3 linked regions of the Notamacropus eugenii genome follow. The protein of the gene in region 3 purifies or fractionates together with the protein of the main gene of each other region. This does not show direct contact. Links are inferred from orthologs where the notes say so. Each region holds a gene or a part of one and is shown on either strand. Other genes may lie near its edges. The genes, in order: ATL3, SYNJ2BP and ESYT1.

What was found.
Region 1: the proteins of ESYT1 (region 3) and ATL3 purify together in Homo sapiens (affinity purification with mass spectrometry; 3 studies listed by BioGRID and IntAct, with this or other methods). This does not show direct contact. The link is inferred for Notamacropus eugenii from reciprocal best matches to the Homo sapiens genes ESYT1 and ATL3.
Region 2: the proteins of ESYT1 (region 3) and SYNJ2BP purify together in Homo sapiens (affinity purification with mass spectrometry; 4 studies listed by BioGRID and IntAct, with this or other methods). This does not show direct contact. The link is inferred for Notamacropus eugenii from reciprocal best matches to the Homo sapiens genes ESYT1 and SYNJ2BP.

Annotation. Positions count from the first base shown.
Region 1 is NC_092873.1:16,545,999-16,553,534, forward strand, and holds the start of ATL3 (atlastin-3), read right to left. Parts: upstream 3,020-7,536; 5' UTR 2,916-3,019; coding exon 2,858-2,915; intron 1-2,857. UniProt on the Homo sapiens protein: Atlastin-3 (ATL3) is a membrane-anchored GTPase that mediates the GTP-dependent fusion of endoplasmic reticulum (ER) membranes, maintaining the continuous ER network. It facilitates the formation of three-way junctions where ER tubules intersect.
Region 2 is NC_092872.1:297,624,704-297,631,711, reverse strand, and holds the start of SYNJ2BP (synaptojanin-2-binding protein), read left to right. Parts: upstream 1-3,932; 5' UTR 3,933-3,997; coding exon 3,998-4,061; intron 4,062-7,008. UniProt on the Homo sapiens protein: Regulates endocytosis of activin type 2 receptor kinases through the Ral/RALBP1-dependent pathway and may be involved in suppression of activin-induced signal transduction.
Region 3 is NC_092874.1:231,388,502-231,396,298, forward strand, and holds the start of ESYT1 (extended synaptotagmin-1), read left to right. Parts: upstream 1-4,766; 5' UTR 4,767-4,854; coding exon 4,855-5,229; intron 5,230-7,243; coding exon 7,244-7,285; intron 7,286-7,514; coding exon 7,515-7,649; intron 7,650-7,751; coding exon 7,752-7,797. UniProt on the Homo sapiens protein: Binds calcium (via the C2 domains) and translocates to sites of contact between the endoplasmic reticulum and the cell membrane in response to increased cytosolic calcium levels.

The sequences.
Region 1 (7,536 bases), on a different chromosome or scaffold from region 3:
AATGTTTCTAAAACAGGATCCTTACTCTAGAGCTGGAAGGGATCTCAGAGGTCACCTAGTCCAACCCCCTTAGTTTACAGATGAGGAAACTTAGGCCCAGGGAGGCTGACTCCACAGCTGGTGCTCTCTCTATGCTAAAATGTATTTAAACTATTGTTTGGTACCTTAGTTTTGTTTTGTTTTGTTTTTCAAGAATTTGCCCTAGTCTAATTCTTCCAAAATAATACTAGCTAACATTGACAGGATGCTTTACAAAATGCTTTCTTTCTCAGTTTGATCCTAGAAGGCAGTAGGAGGTTACAGTGTCAGATACGAAAACAGTCATGAACAGAATTGCCAAGCGAAGAAAAGTTTCCTTTCCTAGAGTGTCATGTTAACAACGAGAACTTTAAGAGCCATCCATCACAAGACAAAGCCGTTTTCGTAAAACAAAGTATTAAGTGTGGGAATCCTGGAATTCTAAGGGAGAAGGACCAACCTATGATTTCATTGGTGTGAAGCCCTTCCAGATGAGAAAAAACTCAACTGATGCAGTTAGTTCCTTCTCTATAACTTAAGAATCTTCAGGAGCTTCCTAGAACAGAGGTGGGGAACCTGCAGCCTCAAGGCCACATGTGGCCCTTTGAGTCCTTGGTTTTGAACTTTTGAATGAGTCCAAGTTTTATAGAACAAATCCTTTTCTTAAGGGAATTTGTTCTCTGAAGTTTGGATTTAGTCAAAGGGCCAAACTTGAGGGCCTTGAGGCCACAGATTCCCCACCCCTGCCTAGAGCACCAAGATAAGGTCATACAGCCAAGATGTGTCAGTGAGAACTTGAATGCAGCTCTTCATGGCTGCACTACCCCTCTATCCACTACAGCAGAGGCCTGGGCCTGAGGCACAGCTGCCAAACCAGAACAAAATGTAACTGGGAAATAGTTAACAAAATAAGTAAAAATACAATAAAGCACAGATGATGTTAATACGTGGCTTGCTAAGTCAATGTGTAGCCAGGTCTGGCAGCCCCCACACCACTATCCGTACCATGCCATACCATACCATACTGTACCGTATCATACTGTACCATCTCATACGGTACCATGCCATACTATACTATACTATACCATACCATACTATGTCCTTTTGGGACTTTTCCCCCCATTATCATATATGTGACAGAAAAGGCAGTATAACACTTGGAGTCCAGAATATCTGGGCTCAAATCTCACCTATTACAGGCAGTGGACCAGAGACCTGGGCAAATGACTTAACCTCTCAGGGCCTCAGGCAATTCTCTAAAATCACAGACTGAGAACACAGCTAAAATTCTAAAACAAATTTGTAAAACTGCAGTTCTTCCTTTTATTATTTCATCCATTAAAAGTGACTCCCTAAAAAAAGGCTGCTCCTAGTGGAAGCAGGAGGCCTGCCCTGGGGCCCCTACTTAGTGTTTTCTCCTCCTTTCCACTACAGTTTCAATACAACTCCTCAAACCAGGGGACCTGAACTTTGTTGGCTTTGGAGAAGTTTTCCTACCCAGGCTCCTTACTCATCTTTTAAGTCTAGAAAGTTCACAAATGGAACCTGTAGAAACTTCCAAATGTCACAAAGAAAAAGCGGGGAGGGGGGAGTGTCAGTACTTCAATGACTGTCGTTTTGCTCTCTTTTCAAAAAAAAGGAAACGTACTCAAAAACTTTAGAAAATTTTCTCCAACTGAAGTTCATATTCTTTTCGTCAGCTAAAAAAAAAAACAAAACCTGATAGAACACCAAATTCTCTACCACACTTTTGGTTTCAGTCCCCTGAGGTAGAAAGATTCAGGTTAAAAATAATTTAAGTTTCACCATTCCCAGGGCAGGTTTCATAAAAGTTGAGTAACAGCTAGCAAGCAGACTCCAGGTGGCAGGACCACAGCTGCCATGAAAAAGGGCCTCAGTTCAATGTTCCTGCGCAGGAAGGGGAGCCTTGCCCTAGGTGACACACAGGTTGGTACCAGAAGGCAGGGCCTGGGTTTCAAAGGGTCTGGATTCCAAACCCTGTCTTCTTTCCTAAGAGGAATTCTGCCTGTAATGACTAGCCCGGGCCCTTCAGCATCTCCCTGTCTCCATCCTTCCACCCTAATATGGCCAAAAGCATCTGCTTCAAACTTTCTAGTCCAATGGGATGGAAAAGTCTACAAAGGAAGGAGGACCTTTAACGGGGATCACCCCCTGGTGGGGTCACTCACTACTGTGCTCGGTGCCCAAGGGTGGGGCAAACAGGACCGGTAGAAATCAAGTTCAGACGGGAAACTTCAACTCCAACCCACCCCAAAGAGGGCAGTCTCCTGATCACCAGGAAGGATGCCCCATTCCCCATGTCACCCGGCAGGGGGCCACAGGGGAGGGGCCCCCTCACCCTACTGCTCCGGGGCACAAGCAGGAACACGCGGAGAAATGGAGGGGGTGGAGAGAAGGAACCCACCTACTCGGGAAAAAGCCCAACACCAAAGCAGGGGGAGGAGCCACGCACAAACTTACAAACGGAGCCAGCTCCGCCAACCCCCTCGTTGTACACGGGGGGAAACTGAGGCCCAAGAAGGGGAAGGACCCCCAAAGGCCAACTAGCCTCGGCTCTTCAATAGAAGGGTAAACTGAGGCCCGGGAAGGGGAAGGGGTCTGATCGGAGGTCCTGGTCTAACGACCTCATTAGACAGACGGGAAAACTGAAGCCGGGACGGCCTGGAGACCACCCGGTCTAAGCCCCTCCCTTTACGGAAGAGGAGCTGAGGGGCAGAGAGGGCCGAGGACCCCCGAGTCCACTCAGTCCTGCGGCCTTCTTTTACAGGGGCGGAAACTGAGGCAGGAAGGGCCCGGGGCTCGGGGGGCGTGGGGTTACCTGTGTTCTCCCCGCTTTCTGATGAGGCCGCCGCCGCCGTTCCCAGAAAAGAAAACATGGAGCCGCCTCCTCATCAGCCCGGGCGGCAGGGGGAGGGCGGGCCGGGCCGGGCCGGGCCTGAGGGAGGGCGGCCGAGAGGGCGGGCAGGCGGAGCTGGGCGGGAAATGGGCGGGGACTCGGCAGCGAGAAGAAACGGGCTGCGCACGCGCACCCGGGCCCGGCCGGCGGCGAGGCCCGCGCAGCAGCCCCGCCCACCTCAGCCTCCTGGGAAACGTAGTACCACTCTGGCGCTCACTTAGGCTCTGGGGCTCCCAAGAAACCACAACTCCCAGCAGTCCATGCGGAATCACGGCAGCAAAGAAGGGAAGCTCGACTCTCCGGGGCTCAGCCTCCCACGGAACCATAACTCCCAGCAGGCCAAGCGGCGACGCAGGCGCTCAGCGGGTGGCCTGCCTAGGTGCTTCCTGCGGGCTGGACCGCGTGTCCGGTGCTTCGTGTCCAAAGCAGCACCCACGAGGGTCCAGGCCTGTGCCAGGAAGGGCTGCTGCTGCAAAGCTCAAAATAAAGAAAAGCAGGCCTTGCCCTCCAGCGGCATCCCCTCTAGTGGGGATACATAGGCCGCGTAACCAGATCTCTTCGCCTTAGTGTGACACTAAACTACCACTCCCAGCAGGCCAAGGGGAGGGTGGGGGAGGGGGAAAGGAAGAGGGAGACAGTGGGGGCCTAGAGCTATGCCAGGCTGGAGAGATCAGCCTGTCCAGCCCCGGGGAGGGGAACACTGTAGATGAGGCCCAAAGAGATTCAGTGTCCACCGCCAGCACAGGGCAGAGAAGGCCTTCTGCTGCTAAATCTGGGGCTGTCTGCAGCCAAGCTTCACCCAAACCCTTCATTTTACAAACGAGTAAACCGAGGCCCAGGGACGTCCTCTGTCATGCCCAAGAGCACAAGGGTGAAGGTTGGCAGAGCCAAGCGCAGGCCCCAGCTGAACTTAAATTCCCTGCCTCGGGCTCAGTGACCTTCAGTACTCGGTCAGTCAATGAGCACTTACTAAGGGCACAGTAATGTGCCAGGAGCCCAGGCCAGCCGTATTCAATTCCATTTAATTTAACAAGCATTGACAGAGTACCCACCTAATCAAACGCTGCACCTAGAACCAGCAATCAAAGGAAAATGAAAACAATCACATTCTACCGGAGAGAGTTTTGGTCCTGAAACACTCTCAGGCCACAGAAATAGGCTGCCCTTCTGTACTGGTTTCTGATCTCCGTGACCACCAACTGTCTGTGTAACCTTGGGCAAGTCCCTGTTCTTCCCCAGACCTCTGTTCTCCAGTAAAACGAGGGGTGAGACTAGATGATCTCTAAGGACCCTTCCCATAAGCCTACAAGTGAACCATTGCTGTATTTTCAAAATTGCACGGATCCCAGGGAGGAGGAAGAGGATGTGACTGAACTGCGATAAAGACGGGTAACCTCACTTCCAGGAGCACAGTCATGATCCAGGCTGTCTCCAGGATAATTGCTGTGTCATTAGTGGCCCTCAGGCACCCTAGAAAAGAGCCTTCTCTGCCGCTGGCTTTGCTTAATGATCGCCATCCATCCTCTGGGTCATCAGACCTGAGGCACACACACAGACACACACCCTCCTGACCACTTTCTTTCAGGCTCTACGCAGACAAATGAGCCTGAGGAATCGGGTACAAATGTGGGACCCAGGAGCAAACATAGAGCTGAAAGGCATAGTCCAGCTCTTTCATTTTACAAGACACAGTGAGGCCCAGACAAGGAGTGCCCTTTGAACCGCTGCCTCCAATTCCCAGAGGCTGTGCCCAAATGCTGGTTCTTGTTCATCCACTCAGTGAGCACAGGGCCTCTTCCTTACCTAAACTGGATCCCAGTCAGGACTCAACACAGGACTGTGTATACGGTCATTACTCAATAAATATTTGGTTGCTAAGTGATTTTGTCCAGTCCATGGTGGCTCAGAGTGGCCTTTTCAACAGACAAGTAGAGTCAGGAGAGACCTGGGTTTGAGTTCTAATCTTGCCCCTGGGCAGCATCGTGGGCTTGGGCAATAGCTTCTTCCTTGTTGAAATGGGTTCAGGTAAGAGCTGAACAAGCTGCTTCAAGTGACTGACATTAGGAAAAACACTTTACTCACTTTATTAGCGTGAATTCTTATTATTCTGGTGAGTATTGAGGTCACAGGAGACTATTTATAATAATCGCTGATGCCTGGAATTCTTTAAATACATCATCTCATTCAACATTGGCAGCAGCCCTGTGATGCAGGAGACACAAGTATTCCTGGTCCCATTTTACGGAGGTAAACACTAATGAAATACCAAATGACTTAGCCATTGTGACCCTGCCTGTAAGGGCCAGGGGCAGCATTTGAACCCAGGTTTCTCCTGACTCTGTCATCCTGCCTGCCATGATGTACATATACATGCTGTGAAGCAGTGTGCAGAGCATAATACAGTATAACACAAAAGACAATGGTAAGGGTCTATCATGAGAACTGGCATTTTTATAGCCCTTTAAAGTTTGCAACGGGCAGCTAGGGGGCAGCAGCCACAGTGCACAGAGCCCTGGACTGGGAACAGGGAAGTTTCATCTCCCTGGGTTCAAATCTGGCCTCAGACACTTCCTAACTGTGTGACCCTGGGCAGGGCATTTCACCCTGTTGGCCTCCATCTCCCTATCTGTGAAATGAGCTGGAGAAGGAAATGACAAACCACTCCACTATCTCTGCCAAGAAATGGCATCATTAAAAGCCGGACATGACTGAACAAGAATAAAAGTTTGCAATGTATTTTATCAATATTATCTCAGTTGATCCTCCAAACTGCTGCTTGAGAGAGGAATGACTGATGTTATCATTCCCATTCCACAGATGAGGAATTTGAGACACAAACAGGGTCAGTGACCTGCCCAGGGTTTCTCAGCAAGAGCCATGTCTAGAACCGCTGACCATGAATCAATCTGTCAACAAGCACTGATCACCATCTATGTGCCTACTATGTGCCAGGCACCACCAAGGTCCTGAACATATCAAGACCAAAAGGAATCCATTCCTTCCCTCCAGGAGTTTCATGCCTGGCCAGGAGGCAATGGGTCTATACTGAAGAGAATACAAAGCACACACCAAAGAAAAACCAGGGGGTTGGAGGAGAGGAGGCCAGACAGGAGGCCGGGGAGGAAGGTGGGGAGGAGGCCAGGGAGGAGGCTATGGTCCTCCTTTTTTTGCCTGTGAAATCTCATAATAGAATCCAGGGGCTGGCTTCTCCTTAGACCCACAGACTTCCAACCTTGGAGATCCTCCACTCCAGCCCCCACTGTACAGGTGAGGCCTTCCCAGAGGGAAGAGTTTTAGGAGTCATAAATGGCAGGGCTGGGAAGGTTCAGAAGTTGGCAGAAGAAGAAATATCTGGGTGTGGACCCAGAAGGAACTCCTGCTTTCCATGCCACTGACCCTGCCCTCTCTGCTGGGCTGCCCTGAAATGGCACACTCACACAAATACACACATATATACACAAATGCACACACACTCATATATACAGATGCTCACATATCTGTGTGGTGGTGGTGGTGGTGGTGGTGGTGGTGGTGGCGGCGGTGGTGGCTGCACAACCCAGAAATAGGCCGTCTAGAAGCAGCTGCCTGAGCAGCTGGAATGTGCCCAGGCAGGGGTGCAGGCACAGGGCACAAGTAAATATCCCTCTGACCTCCCCCCACCCCCAGCCACAAGGGAGTTTTCAGGTGCACAGGGTCCTTTACTGTCCCATTAACCTTTCCTCCACTGAAGGCCTTCTCCCATGACTCATCGTGATTTGTGGGTGACCCAGGGTTCCATAGGCAGTGCCAGCAGAGCTCAAGCTGTGGCAAGTCCTAGCAAACTGGAAGGACTCCAGTCTGGGCCTGCTGCTGGACTGTGGGTCTGATGTAGGAGGCCCAGCCTTGAGAATTTCACTTGCCAACTTCAAGGCTTTGAAGGGTGATTGGACAGAAGGGTTGGAGAACTGGGGGAGAGGGGAGCATAACAACCCTGAATAACTGCCTGGTAAGTCGGGGGAGGGGAGGGTTTGCCCCAGCAGGGAACAGAACAAACCATAGATCAACCAATCTAGTCAATCAGCCAGCACCTATTAAGCAGCTAGGAGCACAGGATCAAGAGCCTGGGGTCCAGAAGTTCTTGTTTAGCTGTTTTCTCAGTTGTATCTGACACTTTGTGACCCCACTTGGGGTTTCTTGGCAAAGATACTGGAGTGCTTTACCATTTCCTTCTCCAGCTCATTTTACAGATGAGGAAACTGAGGCCAATGGCTGAAGTGGTTTCCCAGCATCACACAGCTAGGAAGGGTCTGTGGCTGGATTTGAACTCAGGTCTTCCTGACTCCAGGCTGGGGCTATCAGCCTAGAACACCACCTAGCTTCAAGGGTCTAGAAAACCTAAGTCAGAATCTGGCCTGGGACACTTCCTAGCTGTTTGAGCCTGGGCAAGTCCCTGAAACTGTCTCAGCTTCAATTTCCCCAACTGCAAAATGGGAATCATAAGAGCACCTCCTTTCCAGGCTTGCTGTGAGGCTCAAAGGAGAAAAGTTTTCCAAGAAGCTGGGCACACAGTAGGCACTATAGAAATGCTTGGCACATAGTAGGCACCATAGAAATATGTATCC
Region 2 (7,008 bases), on a different chromosome or scaffold from region 3:
CTTGTGTTTGCAGTTCAGAATTTCTACTAAGCTTTTCATTAAAAATGCTTGGAAGTGTCCTATAAAATAGTAGTGTAACAGAAAAAAACAGCAGTAGTGTAATGCCATAGGCTTTTTAATAAAGACCCATTTTTCTTCCCCTGTAGGGTTACACTCAGTTTTTGCTAAGTAAATTATTCTTGATTGCAAGCCTATATCTTTTGCCTTTTGGAATATTAGATTCCTTGTTCTACAGTTCTTTATAGAGTAGATGGTAAACCTTGTATGATCCTGATTGAGGTTTCTTAGTACTTTAACTCTTTCTGACAACATGCCTGTTTTTTTTTTTCTTCTTTAATCTAGAAGCTCTGGATTTTGGCTAAAACTCTGGGGAGTTTTCATTTTGTGTTTTGTTTTTTTTTAAGAGGTGATTAGTAGATTCTATTTTTACTTTGCCCTCTGATTCTAAGACAGTTGGACAGTTTTCTTTCATGAGTTCTTGGAATATGATTTACAATATTTCTGTTTCTGTCTCTGCGTCTCTCTCCTTTAACCCTCCCTCTCTTTCTTGCTCATGGTTTTCAGATAGTCCAGTGATTCTTAAATTGAATCTCTGTGATCTGCTTTCTAAGTCAGTTACTTTAGCTTTCTTTTCTTTTTCAATATTTCAACTCTGTTTTAATATTTTTTGTTGCATTTCAATTAGTACAGATGCACAAAGACAGGAAATGGAATGTTGTGTATAGAAAAAAGACCAGTTTGACTAGATTACAGAGTGTGGGAGTACTGTCTAGTGAAGCTGAAAAGATCAGCTGGAGCCAAGTTGCAAAGGGCTTTCAAAGTTAAACATAACAGTTTATATTTTATCTTGGAGACAATATAGAGCCATTAGAGTTTACTGAGCAGGGGATATGATCAGATCAGAATTTGAAGAAAACCACTTTGACAGCAGTATGGAGGATGGAGAGACTTAAGGCAGGCAGACCCATTAGGAGTGTGTTGTAATAGTCTGTAGGCTTGAGCTAAGGTGTTCAGCTGTAGGAGTAGAGAGAAGAGGTCAGATATGAGAGACAGAAAGGTAGAAAGAACAAGATTTGGTAACTGGTTAGAATGTAAGGTGAAAGAGAGTGAGGAATCAAGGATAATGCCAAGGTTACAAACCTGGGAGACTGGAAGAATCCTGGTGCTTTCAAGAGAAGAGGGAAATTTGGGGTAGGGTTGGGGAGAAAGAGAATGAATTCTGATTTGGACACGTTGAATTTGGAATAAGAGTGGTAACTACTTTGGGGGGTTTTATAGCCCAGGTCTGAGATCAGTTTTGGACATGCTGAGTTTGAGATGCATAGCAGATAATTGATAGTTAAGGATTATGTCTCTCAGGAGAGATTAGGGCTTATGTTAGATTACATTAGATTATGTATATACATGTATGTATATATGTGTGTATATATGTATGTGTATATGTATGTATATGTAATATATGTATATGTATACATATACACATATATGTATGTCATTTTGTGATGGTAAGCAAAGTAGGTTTACAAAACACTTTAATAAAATACCTCACTTAAGTCTTAAAACAATCTTGTAAAGTATTTGCTACTATTATCACCACTTAATAAGAGAAAACTGAGCCTGGGAGAGGTTGTTATTGCCCAGGGTCACTACGGTGTTAAGTAGCAGAGCCAGGATTTGAAGCAGACATCCAAACCACCACTAGGTTAGAAATCAGAACACTATCCATTACGATAGGCTTCCTCTACCAGGCTAAAGGGCCAGTGTTCTGACAATCTGGCTTTTTACTAAGTTTTAAGAATCTTTGATTTCACTCCTCTGGGTAATCCCTCCAGTCATACTGAATTCAACCATAGGCTCCTTAGCAGATGGTTACATGGGCTGCTTTGGCCAAACAATTAATCAGCTGGTGGTCAATTTTCTAGGGATAAGCCTCTCTAAATTTATCTAAGCTGGTCCTAAGACAATTGACACAGGCTGTCACAGGCCCATATTTAAAGACTTTCCAGCTGAGTGTCCTGCTGGAATAGCTTTCTAGCATAATATGTTAGTCAACAAACATTATTTAAAAAAAAAAAAAAAGATACTGAATGCTGGGAAATTACCATAACCAAATTTGACTCCAAAGAGGAGATATGAGAATGTACTTTCCTCCCTCCAAGTTTTTTTTTTTTTTCCCAGGTGGAGGAACTATGGGTGTCAAAAACACTACTTATAATATCGACCGTTTCATATGTTGGTTAGTTTTCCTGAACTATTTTTTCCTTTTTTTTTTAGTTTTCAAATTTGAGTTCCACAAGCTTTTGAGTTTTAAATTTTCTTCCTCTCCCCCCCTCCCCAACACTGCATATACATTCATATTAAACATATCTTCACATTAGTCATGATGTAAAGAATTATAACCAATGGAATGGACCACAATTTCCAATTCTTTTTCACCACAAAAAGTGCTGCTATCAATATTTTTGTACAACCTTGCCATTTTTTTGATCTCTTTGGGATACAGCCCTAGAAGTAGTATTGCTGGGTCAAAGGGTAAGCATATTTTTATAGCCCTTTGGGCATAGTTCCATGGCTCCAAATTACTCTCCAAAATAGTTGGATCAGTTTATAACTCCACCAACAATGCATTAGTGTTCCAATTTCCCACATCTTCTCCAACATTTATAATTTTCCTGTTTTGTCATGTTAGCCAATCTGATAGGTGTGATGTGGTACCTAAGAGGTGTTTTGATTTGCATTTCTCCGATCAATAGTGATTCTTGTTTTGTTTTTTTTTTGTCATTAAGGATGGCTCGGGTAACAAGAGTGATGTAAAATTAAAAGATATCAACAAACAATAGCTTATAGGATTAAACATTTAATTGAAACAAATTCAGAAAACAAGCACTAAATGTTTACTATGTGAACAGCTAACATTTCTATTGAGCTTTAAGGTTTTACCTACGCTGGGGCCTGGAGTCAGGAAGATCAGAGTTTAAATATGGTCTCAGACACTAAACAGGTGTGTGACCCTGAGCGAGTCACCTAACTTCGCTTCAGTTTCCTCAACTGTAAAATGGGTATAATGGTAGCACCTACTTTCTAGTGTGGCCGTGAAGATCAAGGGATAGAATATTTGTAAAGCATCTGACACTATATTCTTATTCCCTTTTCCCTAACAAACATTTCAATCAATAAGCACTGGGGATACAAAAAAAAAAAAAAAAGCCAAAGACAGCCTCTGCCACCAAGGAGTTTACAGTCTAATGGATCATCTGGACCTCATACAACCCTGTTAAGGCATCCTTTTTTTTCTTAACATATAAGGAAACCAAGGCCCTTCACTGCAGTATTGAGTGATGTGGGAGCCTAGGGTACCCTGCCCACTGGACCAGGAATCAAGAAGACCTAAGTTCACATTTGGTCCCAGACACTAAGTAAGTGACCCTGCACCAGTAACTTAACTTTTCTTGCCTCAGTTTCCTCATATGTAAAATGGGGCTAATAAGGGTTGTTGTGAGGCTCAAATGAGATAATAACTGTAAAGTGCTTAGTACACCCTGGCACAGAGTGAGAAATAGATGAATGTTAGCTGTCCTTATTGGCATTATTAAACAACTAACAGGCTCAACCTTGGTTTCCCCGCCTATAAAATTCCCCAGTCTTATTGGGGAATCAATCCCCCAATGTGTTATTGAGGATAAAGTGAGCCACAGATGTACAGGGTCCCGTTAGCAACTGGTGCTTCTTCTCTCACTTAACAAAGAAAGCCCCTCCCAACAAAGCCACCCACAGTGCAAAGCCTAGGGAGGTGGGGGTGGGGAGGAGGAGGACAAGCCCGGGAACTACATTCCCCAGAATTCCCGGTGTTTCCCATCCGCCCCTTCCTGTCCGGGGAGGCTGATGAAACCGAAAGTGCTGCGGCTGCAGCTGGGTTTTTTTTCACCTTCAGTCCCGTGAACACGACGGGCGGGTGAATCCGGTCGGGGGAAGGAAAACCCTGGGCCCTGCGTAAAGTATGAACGGAAGAGTGGACTATCTGGTCACGGAAGAAGAGATTAATCTTTTCCGAGGACCCTCAGGTACTTGGTGGGAGCTGGGGATGGGATGGGGGAGGGGGGAAAGGGGCCGCCTGAGGTTTCCCGCCACGCCACGAGAAGTCTCCCTCAGCCCCACGCCGACCCCCAGCCTCCTCTTGGTCGGGCCGCGGGCCTCTTATCAGTATAACCCCTTCCCGCTCGTGGAGGGGGATCTGCTGGTAGCCTGGCGTCCACCCTTGGCTGAGGAAGGAGCCCCTGCCCTGGCCGCAGCCTGGCACAGCCGAGCTGCCCGTGCGTCACGGCGCCTCCGGGGAGAGGGAGGATTAAAGGTGGGAGGCGTACTGCCCTTGGCGATTCACCCGCGGCGGCCGCCCCGCCCCCCCCGCCCCCCTCCGGCCCCCTCATCGCCCCCCCGCGGCCCCCCCCATCGCCTTGGCCCTCAACTTCCAGAGCTTTTTATATTTATTTTTAAAAATCTCCGTTACCGAGGTTCTCTGGAATCTAGCATGAAAATTCATTTGCCCCCTTGTATAAATTCTTTTTTTTTTTTTTAAAGAGTCCCACTACTAATTAAGAGTGTGTAGAGCGACTGAGTCACTCAGTCGATCCCCCGCGCTTTTAATCAGGTTTGCCGTGGACCCAGGCGCTTTGAAAGCGCCCCTAGGGCAGCCCGAGCTGGTTAGGGACGAGGAAGCCGGCCGCCCAAGGTCAGCTGCTCGCGGGGCGGCGGGCCCTGCCCCTCCCCCCCCCCCCCCCGTTCCTCCCCTCTCCCCACCCCCGACCCCTCCCCTCCCCCCCCCCCCCGCAGCCCGACCACCCGCCTGCGCACGCAGCCTCGCCCTGAGTGCCGGCGTGTGGCGGCCGAGCAGTCACTGGAGCCCCCCCTAGGCCCGAGTGAGCCCGCGGTGCCGGCGGCTCTTCGGAGGAGTCTCCCAGGGGCAGGGGCGTAGAGGTGGCGCGGCGGTGCCCGGTGCCCAGTGCCTGGCCCCACACGGCTGGGCTCTTCATGTTTGCATCTGCACACGGTAGACTTGGATGTTTTTAATTAGAAAGATGGTTATGCCTGATTTTCTTAGATCTTTAGAAACCAGCAAGCTCTCCAGAAAGGTCCCGCCCCTATCTCATGAACTTCCTATTGAGGTTCAGAGTTGTATGTTCTCCTTATCCTGAAGGGATTGGTTCTCTAGCATAGTGGTCTCTTGATTTTTTTTTTTTTGAATTACACACCCCTTTCCGAAAAAAAAAAATTAAGATAGGAGTACTTTAGGACAGTGGTCTAGACTGTTTGGATTGCACAACCCTTTCAGGAAAAAAATTAAGGTATTGGTTCTCTAGGACAGTGGTCTCTTAGACTTTTTGAATTGCACACTGCTATCCATAGGAAAAAAAATCAAGCATACATTCCCAATATGTGTATATTTATTTACAAATTATATGCATGTACTGCTGTAATAAGTAATAAATAATAATATGTAATAATACAATATAATATAATATATTTTATTATATATTATGTTAATTACATTATTATATATTATAATAAGTAATAATAATAATTATGCTATCAAACTTGCATGAAAATGTAAATTTTGAAAGGGCAAGATAAAGATGAAGTAATATATGATCCCAAAGTCATTTGGGAGCCACTGGAATTTATTGAGTTGAGGGAAGTTATTGGGTAGTTGTGTGTAAGATTCAGTAAGGCGAGACCAAGTAGAAAACTATTTCAGTAATTCTGTCTAGAGGTGAAGAGTGCTTGAACTCAGGTAGTGGCTTCATTAAGAGAAATGAAGAGGTAGAAATGACAAGACTTGTTAATAAGATACGTGGAGTGAGGGAGAGTGAAGATTGGAACATAACAGGAAGATAACTTGGTGTTATCTTCTCCAGCAGTGCCTGCCCAAGCCATGAAATGATTTTAGGGACAGGGTATGGGTATGCTGGTGGGGTGGGGTGGTGGTGAGAACTTTTCAGTGGCGTTTAAGTACTTGCTGCTATAGGTACTAGGTAGTGGTTAGATGACAACTCCCCAGAAGGACCCATGCTGGGCTCAGAAGCAGGAAGATTGGATCTCATTGGGATCAGCCCTCTGATTGGTTGATCCCATACTTCTTGGAATCAGGCCACAGCCCCCACTTGGGAGACCATTACTCTGGAAGGATGGGAATTGATGTCTGGAATGAATTTACAGAATTTTCAGCAATCAGTGCCCATAGAGTGGCTAAGCAGTGGCTTCAGAAGACCAAAGGCATAGGCAAGGGAACAGGACTATTAAGAAAGGAAAAGACAGAAGGAGTGGGTGGGATTTTGATTTTTAAGGGAGAAAATTAAAGGGACCTGGGTTGGGTAATGATAATAGGGCTAGCAACATTTGCCCCAGAGGCTTTGCTGAAAGTTCATAGTTAATTTTACAGATAGCTGCAGATTACCAGCGGTGACCTGGAGTCTGTTCCAGCTTGATTTTGAGGCAGATGTCACAAACTGACTAATATTAATTTTTGAGCTGGAAAGGGACCTTAGATATCATCTTATCCAATTTGTTTGTTTTAGAGATAAGAAAGTTGAAGTCCAGGAAAATGTGACTAGCTCAAGGTCACACGGCAAGTTATTGGCATAGATGGGACAAAAAAAATCAGGGCTCCTGACTTCTGTTTGTTTGTGCTCTCTTCCTGAATCAGTTCCCAATGGATGCAGAGGGGAAGTGAGTAATCTGGGATGTGTGTGTGTGTGCATGTGTGTGTATGCATGTGTGTGTATGTGCACGTGCACGGATGAAGTGGGGCAGATTAATTCATAGATGAGAGTAGACAATGTATGGAAAACTTTTCCTTCTGTATTATAGCAAGTCACTTGCCCATTAGTGAATAATTCCTAGCTGTTTACTTGTAGGGATTTAATCCATTTAGTCACTTATTACAGCACAATAGAAGGGCTCCTAAATTTTTTCCAGACTTCACATTTGGGATATCTATTGTTCCTGTGTTTTTGT
Region 3 (7,797 bases):
TTGTAGATGAAGACATTAAAACCCACCAAGTTTATACAGGTGGTTAAGGACCAGGGCGAGGATAGTAATTTTCATATAATTATATAACACATCATTACAAAGCAAATGTCAATAAATTACATATTAATATGTTATAATCCTAGGAAGTTTCAGTATCTCCACTGCCCCACTCTTTAGAAATGATACCACTGGTAATTGCTGCCTCCCTCCCTTCCTCCCCTCCACCTTCCCAGTCTTTCCATTACCTCCAACCACCACCAGATGGCACGTAGGCAGTAGGTATGCCAAGGAGAGACAGGAAGATGAGGTGTTTATGAACCAGATGTCTGCATTGCAGTTTCTGGCCTTGGGTGCTTCTTAGCTCCAGCTGGAGGAGGGGAGTTGAGGTATCCAGGCTCTCTGTCCCCTTTGCCCATCATGGTAAGAGTCTAATTGTTCCGATGCTCAGATATGAAGGGTTAGAGAACCTCCAGAGGACAATTAAGCCTGCAGATACAGTCAGTCTGGGCTATCGAGTGAGTGAGTGTGTGAATGTGTGTCTGTGTGTGTGTGTGTGTGTTTATGTGTGTTGGGCTGGGGGCTTGCCTCTTATGCCGAGAGCTCTTTGAGGAATATCCCTGGCCTCCCCCGTTATTCCAATGCTCAGTAGCCCTTACCTTAAGAGCTTCTCCCCTCCCTGCAACAAAGCTGTTTCCTTCTGGAATGGAGCCATCAGTCACATGCAACCTCCCCCATGACCCTCTCCCCTGCCCTTCCCTCGTGTTCCAACCTCACTCCTCCTTGGGGGTGTGGAGGGATGGATGACAAGAGGTAGGAAAATGGAAACAGTCTGAGTCCTTAGCAGATTTTGCAGACTAAGTAAAGCTCCCAGATGCAATCAGCCTCGGGGAGTCAGGAAAAAAGGGAAATAGAAACCCCAGATTAGAGAACTGAGGTTAGGCTATTGGGTGGGGACAGGTTCTGAGCAGCTCTGATGAAACACTGCCAGAGGCTCAGAGTAGATGAGTAGATGTCAGATAAAATCCACACCTCGAAGAGCCAGATAATCTATCTGCCAGAGTGGTGCATCTTCTCTACTGCCCAATTCTACTTCTCCAGCACGGAGGAAGGGAGGGAGGGAGGAACTCAGACTCCGGACTGTGACTGAGATTCCCTGGCATTGCCAACTAATAATGAAACTTTGGCTACAAAGACCTGTGATTTCCTTGGTGTGGGTTTTCTCTCCACAGAGATCTTCAAAATTAATTATCACTTCATAGATGGTTTTCAAAGATTACTATTTAAAAAATTATCAGTCATCAGCCCACATGTTAAAGAGCCATTCAAACTTAACTTGGCTGGCCTTCAGCCTACAGGAAGAGGACTTTATCACTAATGTTTCCATTTCTCTATCCATGGTTCAATTGACAGGATGTTCTCTCCATCTGTGCAAGTCAAAACCCATCCACATGTTTTCATCCAGTGCTCCTGTTGTCCCACAGATTCTCCATAAAGAATCTAAATTACTTTACATTTCATGGGTACCTGGGCAACATTTTTACTGGCCATCTGTTATTCTTCACCCTTACTACATAACCAGCCCACTTCCTTTCCTGATCTTCCTTTTCTTGAACAACAACCTGTTAGTCTAAATAACTGACATTTATAGAGTTTCCCGAAGTACCTACATTATCCCATTTGGGTCTCCTAACAATCCTGGGAGATAAGTACCTCAGGGTTGCTGTGGAGCCAGTGCTGTGCTAAGTGTTAAAAGTGATTAGCTTCATTTTACAAATGAGAAACCTGAGGGTCATGGAGATTATAAAATTTGTCCAATTACCCAGCTAAGAATTTTCAGAGAAGGGATGCAAACCCATGTCTGTCCTGACTTTAAGTCCAGAGGTCACACGAAGAACTAGGCTCTCTCCACCATGCTTCTCACATAGATCTCTGGCAGGCCTATAGTGGCATCTTTCATTTCTCAGTCCCCAAACAATCTTCAACTCTCAACTCTCAACACCAAAAAAACCCAAAAACAAACCAATATTTTTTTTTCTGGGACCTGTGATTTCACTGATGTTAAGGAATTCTTAGTGAGGAAATTTTCTCTACCAATATAGATAGATAGCTTGCTTTGTGTATATTTGTTTGTATGTTGTCTAGTCCATTAGACTGAAAGCCTTGAGGTCGAGGATTGTCTTTTGCCTCTTTTGTATCCCTAGTACTTAGCACAGTGCCAGGCACATTGAAGGCACTTTTATCTTTCTGCTTTGAAGGTACTTAACAAATGTTTATTAATTAGCTGGTTCTTCAAGTTAGTATTAGAGAATTGTTGAAGGCATTGAGTGGTTAAATGATTTGTCCAGTCACTCAATTAGCACCTGTGAGAGCTGGGAGTAAAATTCAAGTTGTCTTGATTCAAAAGTGGTCCCTCTCCACCTGCCTCTCAACATTAGGAGAAACATCTTCATCACACCACCCTTTGGTCTACTTGAGTAAGAACTGAACTTAACTTATCCTGATTCGGTATGAGATCTTTAGGTTCTTAGAAACTCTCTAAAGGAAGCGTTACAACATCCTTGAGTCACTTAATATGGTGTCTGTTGATGCCAGAACAAGGTATTTTTGCATTTTAGTCAAATTTGAAAAGGTTCATCCTCTTTATTCGAATATAATGCTCTTTTTTTTTTAATGTATTTGTTTTCAGTTTTCAACAATCACTTCCATAAGTCTTGAACTTTCTCCCCCTCTCTTCTCCCTCCCCAGATGGCTTGCAATCTTATATGGATTCTATACATACATTCTTATTAAACACATTTTCACATTAATCATTTTTGAAATATAGTGCTCTTAAAGAATCTTGTACCATGAAGAATGGCATTTTAAGGCATTGAACTATAAGCATTTATTTCTAATAATAGATTTTATCAATATCTTTTTGTTTTATGTCACCGAGATTCCCTCCCCCCCTTAATGCTATCCATACCCTCTCTCAGAGAGCTAAAACAGTTTTTTGAAAGAAGAGAAAAAGATTCAGCAAAACCTGACACATTGAAAAAACATGACATTATGTGAAATGTGGTAACTGCATGAACCATCTACTTCTGCAAAGAGTGGGAGGAAGCGTCTTCTCATATCTCTTCTTTGGGGCCAAGCTTGTTATAATTTCGCAACATTCTTCTAAAAATGCATTTTTGTTGCTATTTTTTTCTATGTATGCTGAGGCAGCCCTTGTGTGTATTGTTTTCCTGGCTCTGCTTATTTTACCTTTTAGCACTTAACAAATCTTTCCAAGCTTTTCTTCATTTATTATGTTCATTGTTTCTTGTAGCACAGCAATATTCCTTTATATAAATATATCACAATTTGTCTAACCATTCTCCAATTACTGGACATCTATCTACTTTGTTTCCAGTCATTTTCTATCAGGAAAAGTGCCACTATAAATATTTTGGAGCCTTTTATTTTTGGCCTAATTTCTAATTACTTTCCAGAATCATTGTACCAATTCACAGCTCTACCAACAATGCACTAGTGTGTACCTACCTTCCCACAACCCCTCCAACATTAATTATTCCTCTTTTTTTTGCCCTCTTTGCTAATTTATTGGGTGTGAGGTGAAACCTGAGCTGTTTGGATTTGCATTTTTCTTATTATTGGTGGTTTGTAGTATTTTTTCATATGACTACTAATAGCTTGTAATTCTTCTTTTGGGAATTCTTTGTTCATATCCTATTGCCACCTCTCTATTGGGGAAGAGCTTTTAGAAATATAGGAATTTATTTTTAAAATATTTTTAAAATGTTGCTTGAAACGTTATTTCCTACCGTGCCTTACCCCTACTTCCACCAGAGTGCCTGGCACATAGTAGGAACCTAATAAATACTTATTGATTGATTTGATTTATCAATATCTCTGCTGCCTACTCACTATCAGCAATAAAGATTTAACCAATTCACCCTTTCCTGCTGCAATCCAGTCTGTTTCCTCCCACACTGCACGTGGCAAAGACAGAAATAAAGTATAAAGTAATCTTTCAGAGTTTTAAAAAGACCATTCTCCACCCTCTGATACTGTAGCTCCCGCAGATTTCGGATTAGGGATAGATAATCTAGTCTAGTCCAATCTCCTCATCTGACAGTGGAAGTCACAGAGATGGCAAAATGTCAGGAGTTGAACTGAGGGCCAAGGGCTTCAAATTCAGCGCTCCCTTTCCAGAGCATCACGCTGACATCCCCCTCAGGCAGATGGAAAACGAAGATGGGGCAAAACCCTTCATTCTAGTTCTCATCTCTGAAAGACCCCCTGGAAGCAATGGGTTTGGGCACCCCAGGCTTGAGGATAGGGGGAGGTCAGTATCCCCAGCCTATCCCTCTCACCCTATCCATATTTGGGGATAATGGCGCTTCTAAACATCTACAAAACTTTAGTTTAGCAAAGCCAGCTCAACCTAAACCAAAACAATTGAGGAGAGGAAGCTGGACATGGCGTCACCCACCAGCCCCACCCATCCCACGTGGGGACACCTCCTACTACTGGCCTCCCTTCTTTAAATTGTGCGCCACGCCTCCTCCTCTCCTTCAGACCAATCAGACTTCTCCCTTCCCCCTATCTCCCGGAGTGTCCCCGCCCAGTATTGCATAGCCAATAAGAGAGGGCTCTGCCCCTCTGGATTCCACACCTCCCCTCTAGGGGCGTGGTTTAGGCTCGTGGCTCCGCCCCAGTCTTTGGGCATGGGCCAATGGGAGCTGCCATAAAGGGGCGTGGTCTAAAGTAGCCGCCCCGCCCTCGGGGTTCTCGGTTGGGCTTGGGGGACAGGGGCAGCCAGGCGGGGCAGCGCGGAGCTGGGCTCCAGTGCGGGCGGGCGTTGGCACCATGGAGCGGCCCGTTGGAAAAGGTCTCGGCCCCGTGGCCGACCCCACTGACCAGCTCCCCGCGGAGCCAGCCAAACAGGACCCTAAACCGGCGGACCCGCCGCCGCCGCCTCAGCCACCCGGGGCAGCCGGTGAGGCGCTAGCGGTGCTGAGCTCCTTCGGGCGGAGGCTGCTAGTGCTGGTGCCCGTATATCTGGCCGGGGCCCTGGGGCTCAGCGTGGGCTTCGTGCTTTTCGGCCTAGCCCTCTACCTGGGCTGGCGCCGGGTCCGCGGTGGAAAGGAGCGGAGCCTGCAGGCGGCGCGGCAGCTGCTGGACGATGAGGAGAGGCTCACGACGCAGACCCTCTACCTGAGCCATCGCGAGCTGCCCGCTTGGGTGAGACAGCCCTCCGCCCCCCATCTCCCGCAGCCCGGGCCAGTCCCCCCCCCCCCAGGACCACCCCCTGCCGGACTTCTGGAGCCTCCTCCCGACCCCACCCCACCCCACCCCTCCATCCTCGAGCATCGCCATCCCCAGGACAGCTGCTCAGACTTAAGTCCATCCCTACAGCCCTAGCATCCTTAACTCTAGCGGGATCCAGATCTCCCGGAATCCGCCACCGCTCCCGCCAGAATTCCCTTCCCCCTACCCTTTTTCCACTGGACACTACGAAGGTCCCTTAGTCCCGAAGCTGTTAACTTCTCCCATTTTCGCTCACCGGAGCCCTGAACCTCCCCCCCCCCACCCCCCACTGCCCCCACACACACCTAGGCATCCCATATCAGACATACCACCTTCGCCGGACCACCTTCCCCGGACTACAGACCAGTTCCCACCACCACTCCCGCTGTGGGTGCCACCTCGTCTGCACTCTGTCTCCTTCCCCTCCCCCACAGGCATCTTCGTCACCCTCCCCACTGGCTCTGCTCCGAGGATTTCCCTGTCCTTCCCTCCTCCCTATACTGGGACGTTGTTACCTACTTTATTGTATGGCTCCCCCACCCATCCACTCAACTCTGGTTACGAGGACCCAGCCCTTCGGACGTGGACTTGTTTCTGCTCCCCTCCCTCGATCCTCCTTAGGCATCCCTAACCCCCTGGGTAGACCCTCCTTCTGTATCTCGCTACCTATGCATCAGGCCCCCAGCCTGGACTGCGGTAGTGATTGTGGTTGGCTGCAGAAGTCGGGGGCGGGGGGGTGGGGTGGGGATGGGGGAGGAGGAAAGGAGAGAGGGGAAGAGAGAGAGAGAAAGGGAGAGGGGAGGGGGATGTGTGCAGATGCTGCAGTGTCTGCTGTCCACACCCTTCCTCCACCTTCTGGCTTCAGCCCCACCCAGTCCTTCAGACCCTAGAGCTGGAAAAGTCTAGAGGTATAGGTGGGGTAGGTGAAGACCCAGAAATATTCCCTTTTTCTGCAGTGAAGGCACAGACCGGATGTAGCAGCCAAGGCCAGGAGGAGCTTTAGCGGGAAACCTAGCCTGAGCCCATAACCAAGCTTGGGCCCCTCCCTTTCAAACCCCCAGCAGAGTTGCCTTATCTTGAAGGGAGTCAAAGCTAGCGAAGACTGAGTGTCATCAAGAGTGACTCTGCTCTGAGGCAGTTTGGAACTGGAGTTCTGCCCTGGAGCCCAATCTTCTGGGCCAGGACTGGTATCCCAGTTCCTTCTCCCCACCCCCTCCATCCAGTCCTCTTTACCAGTTCCACGTCTCTGCCACTCCCACATCTCAATTGTGGAAACTTCTCCCTACCCCCCCTCCCCAGGAAAAGGGGGGCCTCGGGCCAATTCCCTTGTTATGTTTAGTTTAACCCGTTAGTCTCCCCAGGTGCTATAGGTTGGGAAAATGTAACTTCTAGGTACCCTTCTCATTCTCCTCTAGTGTTATGAGGAACGCTGTCCTAAGGACAGGATTCCTTTTCCTAAAGAATGTACCATCCCTTAGCCCAGCAGCTGTGCCTGCTGCCTCCCACTCCAAGGGAGTCATTAGAAAACAAAGGGGCTCCTGTGCTATCTGAGCCTTGACTTAGTACCCCTACAAGAAATCACGACTATCCCCCCAATTCTCTACACCCCTAGAATTGTCTCCCTGGAGTCTTTAGTGGAAGTGAAACTGCTTGTCCCTCTGGCCCCACCCTACTCAATAACAACAAAACAAGTACCTTGTCAGTGGGCATCCTGACACACAGGCATTATACAAGTACTTCCTGTCCCATTCTGATAGCACCTTCACAAGGACAGATGAAAGTTCTTGTAATTCAGGCATTCTTAACCCGGAGGTCCATGATATTTAAAAAAAATTCTGAGAAAAGTTCCATAGGCTTCACTAAGACTGGCAGAGGGGCCCATGTTACAGAAAAAAGGTTAAGAATCCCTGGTCTCAGGGGTCCAAATGTATGTTCTTCCTTCCTCCAGGTTAGCTTCCCTGATGTGGAGAAGGTTGAGTGGGTGAACAAGGTGAGTTTGCACATGGGTGGGTATAGGTCCTCTCTGATCAGTTGCTGAGACTTTGATTCCCTAGCCAGCCAGGACATGTTGACCCCTTCACTCCCAGCTAGAACCTAGTCTTGTCCTCCAAGTTTTCATTGGGATTGTAGCCATTTGGGGAAGTGGGTTCTCAGAGGGGTCTGACTACATGAGGAAGAGACAGTGAACCTCCACATGACTCTTCTTCTGTCATCCCAAGATTGTGGCTCAGGCCTGGCCCTTCCTGGGCCAGTATATGGAGAAGCTCTTAGCAGAAACAGTGGCCCCAGCTGTTCGAGCATCCAATACTCATCTGCAGACTTTCACATTTACTCGTGTGGAACTAGGTGAAAAGGTGAGGTGGATGGCATGGGGCATGGGAATAGGGAGGGTTCAATTCGGGGATCAGTGCACAGGGGACCAAATGTCTATTGCCTTCCATGTATTCCCTTCTCAGCCTTTACGTATCCTGGGGGTCAAGGTTCACACTGGTCAGAACAAAC